2 linked regions of the Drosophila melanogaster genome follow. Changing the gene in region 1 together with any one later gene gives a genetic interaction. Each region holds a gene or a part of one and is shown on either strand. Other genes may lie near its edges. The genes, in order: Atf-2 and Mekk1.

Evidence for each region.
Region 2: of Atf-2 (region 1) and Mekk1, changing one suppresses a phenotype caused by changing the other (phenotypic suppression), as found in Drosophila melanogaster (one study listed by BioGRID).

What each region holds. Positions count from the first base shown.
Region 1 is NT_033778.4:24,868,471-24,872,215, forward strand, and holds Atf-2 (activating transcription factor-2), read left to right. Parts: upstream 1-1,637; 5' UTR 1,638-1,739; coding exon 1,740-2,775; intron 2,776-2,828; coding exon 2,829-2,938; 3' UTR 2,939-3,019; downstream 3,020-3,745. Other genes in the region: CG16896 (uncharacterized protein), read right to left, coding at 3,020-3,175, 3,239-3,745.
Region 2 is NT_033777.3:18,741,731-18,745,654, forward strand, and holds the start of Mekk1 (Mekk1), read right to left. Parts: upstream 1,865-3,924; 5' UTR 1,507-1,864; coding exon 1,271-1,506; intron 1-1,270. Other genes in the region: PGS1 (phosphatidylglycerophosphate synthase 1), read right to left, coding at 2,521-2,940, 2,999-3,924.

The sequences.
Region 1 (3,745 bases):
GATCATCAAGTTGGTAACCAACGCTAGGGTCATGCCAAACGTGTCTTTGCTAAAATGGAATGGTTAATCTGGTCAAGTCTTAAATACCAATGTATCACTATGAGGACTGCTATACCTTTATATTACATATTTTTCAAATAAAATTCAAGTTCTTATGGAACTTATTCAAACATTTGTTCTCAAGCTTTACTTTAGCCTGATCGCAAGCTATTCCAAGTTTGGAAAAAAATTTTGTGCACTCAGCCACTTGATCCTAACCACAGAGACCGACGGACAGTAAGAAAAATGGCGAGGTTGCAGTGCGATGATGGAAAGGATGTGGCGGTGGGGCAGGAAAAGGAGCTGATGGGTATGGATACTTTGAATGCGGGCAAGAGAGAGATGTTCATCGGAACGCATGTTCTTTGAAAATTGCCCATAATTATGCGAACGAACTTCAAACTGATTGTTTCTACCGGCAGCAGCGCAGTCCGAGAAACGAGAATCCAGAGCCGAGGATCGGAACCCATCTCCATCCCATAGCTCCATGGACCATGGACCACGCTGTCCGAAAAACGCGCGTCCGTTGCATGCAACGTGGCAGGGATGGGATGGAATGGGATGGGATGGGATCGAGATCGGGACATGGCCAAGGGTATGGCTGTGTGGAATAGCCCGCTTGGCTGCAGTGAAAGAGAATGACTGTAATTACGCATCACTTTTTCTTAATTTTCATGCTGTGCATCTTGCGGCCCTTCCTCCTCGCAAACGGAGCGGATTGGAGTGGTGGTGAACAACGAGGACGAGGGCCGGAAGGGGTCCTCCATCTTCTCGCTGGGAACAATTTAAGCACTGAACTTGACCCACAAGTCGAGTCTGCTGCTTTTTGTGCGGCAGAGTTTTAGAAAATTGCTCGTTTCGTTGCGTGCATATTTCCCAAAATGCGAGCGGCTTGAAATCATTTTGCGTGTTGTTTTGTCCGCTGTCTGTTTTCTGCTTGTTCCTCCAATGAGAAATCTAATTTAAAAGATACAAATTTTAAATTATGGGGTTTTCTTGGCTACCAAAAATGTTTCGATGTTTTTTCTTCGCTTTACCTTCCTCTTCTTCACATATGATTGCTTCTACGTGCCGAAGACTCGCATTTTGGCATTTTGGATGCGATGGCAGATACGCAATTTCGTTGCGGAAATGCCGAATGTCAAGAGTGGTTGCATAACAGCTTCAAACACAGAAAGGCTAGGAATAATAAGGGTCTCATGACAGAGGGGTATTTTTTACACACAGTATTTATTGGTAACCAGATTCAAATTGAAAACATTCGCGCGCCTTTTTTGCACCCACTCGCGGTATCGATATATCGGTTTGCACACATCACTACTGTGCTAAGGTAAACAACATATAAAATATACATTATATCGAGGTTTGAAAATTCCTTTACTTATTTTGTTACACAATGAAGATTATTCAGTATTTATTTGATTTATTTTAAGTTCTACGTTATGATCTTTGTTCTACCAGTAATAAAATACATTTTACATCGTAATTACGGCAGAAGAACTTAGTACCTTTTCCAGCACTGCAGCCAGAGTTGGTTTCTTAATGGAGTCCGATAGGTTCAATAACACATCCATACATCGATAACAATTTTATTTTTTGTTTTGCTAATGTGATTTACAAAATAGTTGTTTTAATTGAGAATTGTCGGCAGATTATGGAGTTTGATTTGTAAATAGCATGATTTTGATGTAACTTCTGACATGGACACCGCCGGAGACATGGATCACCTGGCCAGTGTGTCCTTCGGCGACTTTGAGACAAAATCCCCAGAGGGCGACGTATCCTGCTATCAGAACTTTCGGGCACAGACGGAACATGTTTCGCTAGACATTTCTCTCGGGCAGAAGTCAGACACTCTATTTGCCGCCGACCAAACGCCCACGCCTACGCGACTCATCAAGAACTGCGACGAGGTGGGTCTCTTCGAGGACCTGCAGCACGTAAATCCATTTGACATTGGATTCCAGCAAGCAGCGGAGCGAAATGTCAGCGGCACTCCGAGTCGCCCAGAGGCTCGACCCAATGACGGTGAGTCCCTGCACACGCCCCAGGTGTATCCCGTCGAGGCCCCCACCGTGGTATCAGTTCCGTCTGAAAATCAGGTCCCACAAAGTGTCAGCTGCGGCGATATGGATGTGGACCAGCTTCTGGCCACGACAGTTACCTCGCCTTCCAAAGCCAGTCAAGATGGTCCGCCGCCGCTGCAGTTGATCCAGCCCCAGGTCCTAACATGGGTGCTGCCTGCGCAGTCAGTTCCCATTTCCATCGCTACAGTTGATTGTAACAGAAACAGGGTGAAGCCGACTGGTGCCATTCATCCCTTCATACTGCCGAAACCCACTGCGAAAGAATTAAACAAGACCAGTAAAAGACCCGAGCCTATTTTGGTCAGTTGCAACCCACCTAATAACGAGCCCAGTAGCGCCAGTCTGACGCCCACCTCACAGCTGCCCATCAAGGAGCGATTGAAGGCCATTATCCACAGCAATAATAACAGACGAAGTTTCTCCACACCGCCCAAGGCTGCGAAAGCAAAGGATCGCAGTCGGGACGAGGATTGTATGGAGCGACGAAGAGCAGCAGCCTCTCGTTACCGTAACAAGATGCGAAACGAGCATAAGGACCTCATCAAACAGAACGCCCAGCTGCAGCAGGAGAATCAAGAACTGCACGAAAGAATTTCCAGATTAGAAAAGGAACTGCAGCAGCACAGGAGTCACAGCAGCTTAGCTGGCGGTAAGCTTTAATAAACCATTCCTGAAGTTAAGTTAATTTATTTTCGTTTATAGTGGTGGCCGACCAGCTGCGGATTCCACCATCCAGTATACACTTGCTCATCAATGTGCCCAACGTGTTAGTGCCTTCGTCCGCCAGCAACGCAAGCGCGGCCAAGAAATAACCAATATGCCTTGTTTATTTATTTTCTAGTGCCATGTACATAATCCTAGCCTTGTAGTTTATTCGTACAAAAAAGCCTCAGTTAAGTTAAATTCCTTCTGTACTCCAATGTTTTGTCTGTGGTTATGATTTCCGTAAACTCTCTCTGTATCTCAAAAATGGAATTCTCGATATCCACCAGCTGGGGACTAAATTGCACAGATGATGTTGCTGGAGTTCGCAGCTGTTCCATGGTCATCTGTTCGGAAGAAAGTAGACTTAGGAGATCACAGAATACAATCTAAAATCTTTTATCACATACATCACGCAAGTTTTTCTGCAGCTGATCACGCTGATAGCAAAGTTTCTGGATTTTGTCGTAATACTTCTGTGCCAGTGGAGCACCCTCCGTATCCGAGTAGTAGCGCTGGGCAAGGAGCTCCATCTCCTGGTTACGAATTTCATCTTCGGCCAGCTGCATTTCTTGGTTGTGACGCCGACGCTCACGCTCAATACTGTGCATCAGCAGGTCCATGTCCTTCTCCATCTCCAGAATTTTGCGTCGCTGCTCAGACTCCTGTAACTTAGTGATGACCTCGCTCTTGCGCCGACGCACCTCCATTTGGTAGGTGAGCAGCATTTTCCGTTGGCAGGTGATGCGCTCTTCCTCGCGATGGATTGTGTCCTGGTAAACTCTCTCCATTTCTTTGAGGCGGCGAGCGTGCTCCTCTTGCTTAAGTCCTGTTTCAAGGCGTTCCATAATTTTAACCTCCTCCAACTCAAGATGGCGAATTCGGGCATCGATTTCCTGGTTGTGCTTGATCAACGA
Region 2 (3,924 bases), on another chromosome or scaffold:
AAACCTTTAAAGTCAAAAACTTTTTCGTAACCTTTCCTAAAGAATCACTGCTTGTATCTTAGCATATACGATGCTTTAATAAAAAAAAAAACATATGTAATATTATATCTATACGTTGCCATTTTTCCAGCGAACCAATCAACTTATCAATTAACAGGTATTAAAATATAGAGACCAACGAAAAAAAGAGCGAGCAGCAGACACATAAATCTCGGCTAATTTCACTTAGTTGCCATAGAAACAGGTGCCAAAAGAAAATGGATGTTTGTCGCAAATTTCCTGCTAACATACGACAATCATGTTTTCCCGCAAAACGATGAACACTCACCTATCCCATAAAAATCAAATCAAAAAAATGAAGTGTATTATGAATAAGCCCCTGCGCATAAGACACAAAAAAAAAAAACAGCGGAAAACGTATCCGTAATTCTCTCAAGGTGAGCGTGTGTATGTGTTATCAGTCCACCGTCAGCGTTATCAGCAAATATCTTGGAAGACTTGAGGCGGCCCCACACAAAAATATGACTATGATAAATGCCGAAATACTACGAAAAACGACGCAGAGCGAATATAACATGCATTATAAAGAAACTTAGTTTTTGTAATGTAATACCTAGCAATTATTGCTTTTTTATTTGAACACATTAAAATCAGTTTAAAATATTTATGAAGGGTGCTCTCTTGTAAGTGAGAAAACTTGTTGATCACTGAAAACAATCGTTACTGTTACATAAAGGAGCGTTTAGACTTCAAGATTTGGTTTCAATCTCAATCTACTAAAATTTCCACAAAAATTTCTAAATATATTACGTGTTCGACGAGTATGCGTTACACAAATGTGATCCAATTTTTGCAGTGCACCTGTGCAGAATTTTAATTGCGCTGCACACAAAGTGTTTAATTTCAGGCAGAATTCGCAATTTGTTGCTGTTCATTTTTTGTGCCTGTCTTGCAGTTCGCTAAATTCTGGGGTTCGTTGAGCCACCCAGGCCAACAACAAGATAACGTGGTCAAAAAACACGTTGTTTACGTTTAAACAATTAAAACTGGTGAAATGCACAGCGAGAGAGAAGAAATGCGAGAGCGAATGAGAGGGAAACCCCGCAAATATGGCTTTGAGAGCAGAGCCGCGACAGAGATATGTTAAAAGAGGGGGAGAGGAAATGGGAAAGAGAGCGCTTGTTAGTTACGTGCCAATGCAGACTTTCTTGTTTCTGTTTGTGTTGGGAAAAGCCCAGCAATTCGAAAACCGCTGGTGTGCTCTGCTCACCTTGCAACATCCTCCTCGACGCTCTGCTCGCGTCGTAATCGTATGGGCGGAATGGGCGGGATGGGTGGTGTGGGTGGCGTTTCAGCTGTAACGGTACTATGATGCCCATTGCCATTCTCCTCCTCCCTTGCCACCTGCTCCTCTGCATTTGTTGTTGCTGCCGGTGTCTTTTGCAAACGCAAACTCTGCTGCAGCGCCAGATAATCAATTGTTCGCACTCTTCGCCTGTTTGACATTTTTGCAAAACTCTGTTTTTTCTGCTTTTGTTATATTCTTGGAATTTGCTGCTCACACGCACACATGCTCAGCCAGCCGCCAGTGCACAAACACTATCGCAATCCAGCACCAACACACACTTGCACTTTAGTAAGCACGCGCCGCGTTTTTATTTTTCTTTTTGTTTTGCCTTTGGCGATAATCAGATTTATTTTAATTTAACTTTCACGGCGAGCAAACACATAACGTTTAACGCGCTCCCGAACTTGGCACGCAGGTAAGCACTTTGTCGTACGTCTTACCGGGCCAAAAAAAGCAGCTAACTAAAGTCTTCGAGCCACTCAAGTCGCCCGGCGTTTTTGAAGAGTGAAAAAAGAGAGAGCTTTAGAGGTGGCAAAGAAGCGATAATCAAACTGGGACTTTTCGTTCAACAATTGGTTAAAAGCTTAAACTTAGCAGAGTATTTCGAAGAGTTAAATTTTTGCTTAGACTTTGCTCTTAAATTTCTTTTAACAAAATTGGTAAACACATTGAGGACATCTGAAAATAATAATTAAACAAATTGCAACTTTTTTCAACAAAGTTCGAAATACATTCTTGAAAATAGCTAAAAACATTGGTCTATCCGATTATTTCTGCCTCTCCAAAGCGGTAAACCATCGTTAGGCGTCCATCACTATTCACAGATGGGCGGGATATTTAATTTTGAACGCATGATTATTATCAGCACCAAAAATTATTAAAACTAAATGAAAGTACATATAGATAGTACAAATATTTATAACATATGCACTTGATTCTAAAATGATGATCCCCCTGGTGATTAGAACACAGCGTGGTATTTTTCCTTCTGCATGCCCTCGATTCTCTTTATTATTTAACAAACTTTAGCGTGTGTACAAAATCAACAATTACCAGCAATAGAAACACTTGCCCAGGGCAAAGATTAAACACGAATTATAAAACTAAATTAACTACCTGGGATATGGGGCTTAACAAAGAACGAAAAAAATTAAACTACTATATCGAAGAGCCTAGAAGAAATTCCTGAATATGCGAACGACGGCCTGGACCCATCGCGGAACGGGTCGTTGGACGATTTCCCGCTCCGCCGTCTGTGACAGATCGTACAGCCGGTCAGCTTCCGCCTGCAGCCGCTGGCTTAGATCCTTATTAGCCGTCACAAGGCACACCTGTGTCTCCAGATCGCGGTTCACCGATCGCTCGCCAAAGTTCGAAGAGCCGATCAGCGTGAGGTTTGGCAGTATTGCCTCTGGCAGGTAGTACCACAGTCCTTTAGCATGGTACGTCCAGCCGGGCTTTTCGTACTCGAAGAAGTTAACGCGGTGGTTTTGCTTCCGGCGGACCAGGCTCTCGTAGAAACTCTTGGCTATCAGTGTGTAGGCAGCCGGAATTCCGCCCGCTGGTCCTTTGGCACCCTGAAAGCCGTTTGCCTGGAAAATGAATTAAATCGGGTTACTATTGGTCAACTAATTACTGATAGCCACTCACATTTGGATGAGCCATCAGTATGCTGCATTGGGCCAGGCACTTGTGCGTGAGCGTGTCCATGTACTCCTGCGTCAGGTTGAAGTACCCGGTGGCCAGTTTCAGCCGTGATCCAGACAAGCAGTTGGAGAGCAGCCGCTTGGTCACCACGCTGTCGTGATGAATGCCGATCTGGCCCATCTCAAGCAGCGGAAAAATCCATGTGTCTGCCTGCGGATTCTGCTCTTTAGTTCGCGCCTGCCGCTGAAACGTCTCCTGCACTAAATCGGAAATACGTTTACGGGCAAGCTGGATAAACTGCTCCTTGGTGCCCTCGTACGGCAGTATTCGCCAGTTGCGGTGCAGTCCCTCGCTGGCATCTGGCGCCACTGCCAAACTAAACTCTTGAACGCGTTCGATGAACTGCGCATAGAAATCCGCCAACGGTTTGTCCTCAATGAGTATGTATCGATCCTGCCGGTTGGTGAAGTAGTCATTGGACAGATTGGCGCCTGATATGATCACGGCATCGTCGAACAGGTAGACCTTCATGTGCTGTAGTCCGAGAAGCTCATTCCACCGTGGCGGTGCTAGTCGCTTTGTCATCCCGCGCAGATCAGGCGTATGGTACAGGGATAGCTGCACCTGGCTCGCAAAGTCGCGGACCAGGGGTAGCAACATGGTCTTGGAGTTGAGGGTTCCCCGCGTGCCGCGTGTAAAGTCCAACAGCACGTTGAGCCTCAGGGCAGACTGTTGCTCCAGGCTGTGACGCAACGTCTGAACCATTGCGTTCTCCAGTTGCCCAGTGCCCAGGTACAAACTGGCCAGCACTATACGGCGTTTGGCCTGACCGATTCGTTGCACCAGCGTTTCGTAGAAGTGCTTTGGCTCGTGGATGACCTGAATTTGATCGCCTCGCAGCGGGAAGCACGGCGCTAGGTTGTGTAACC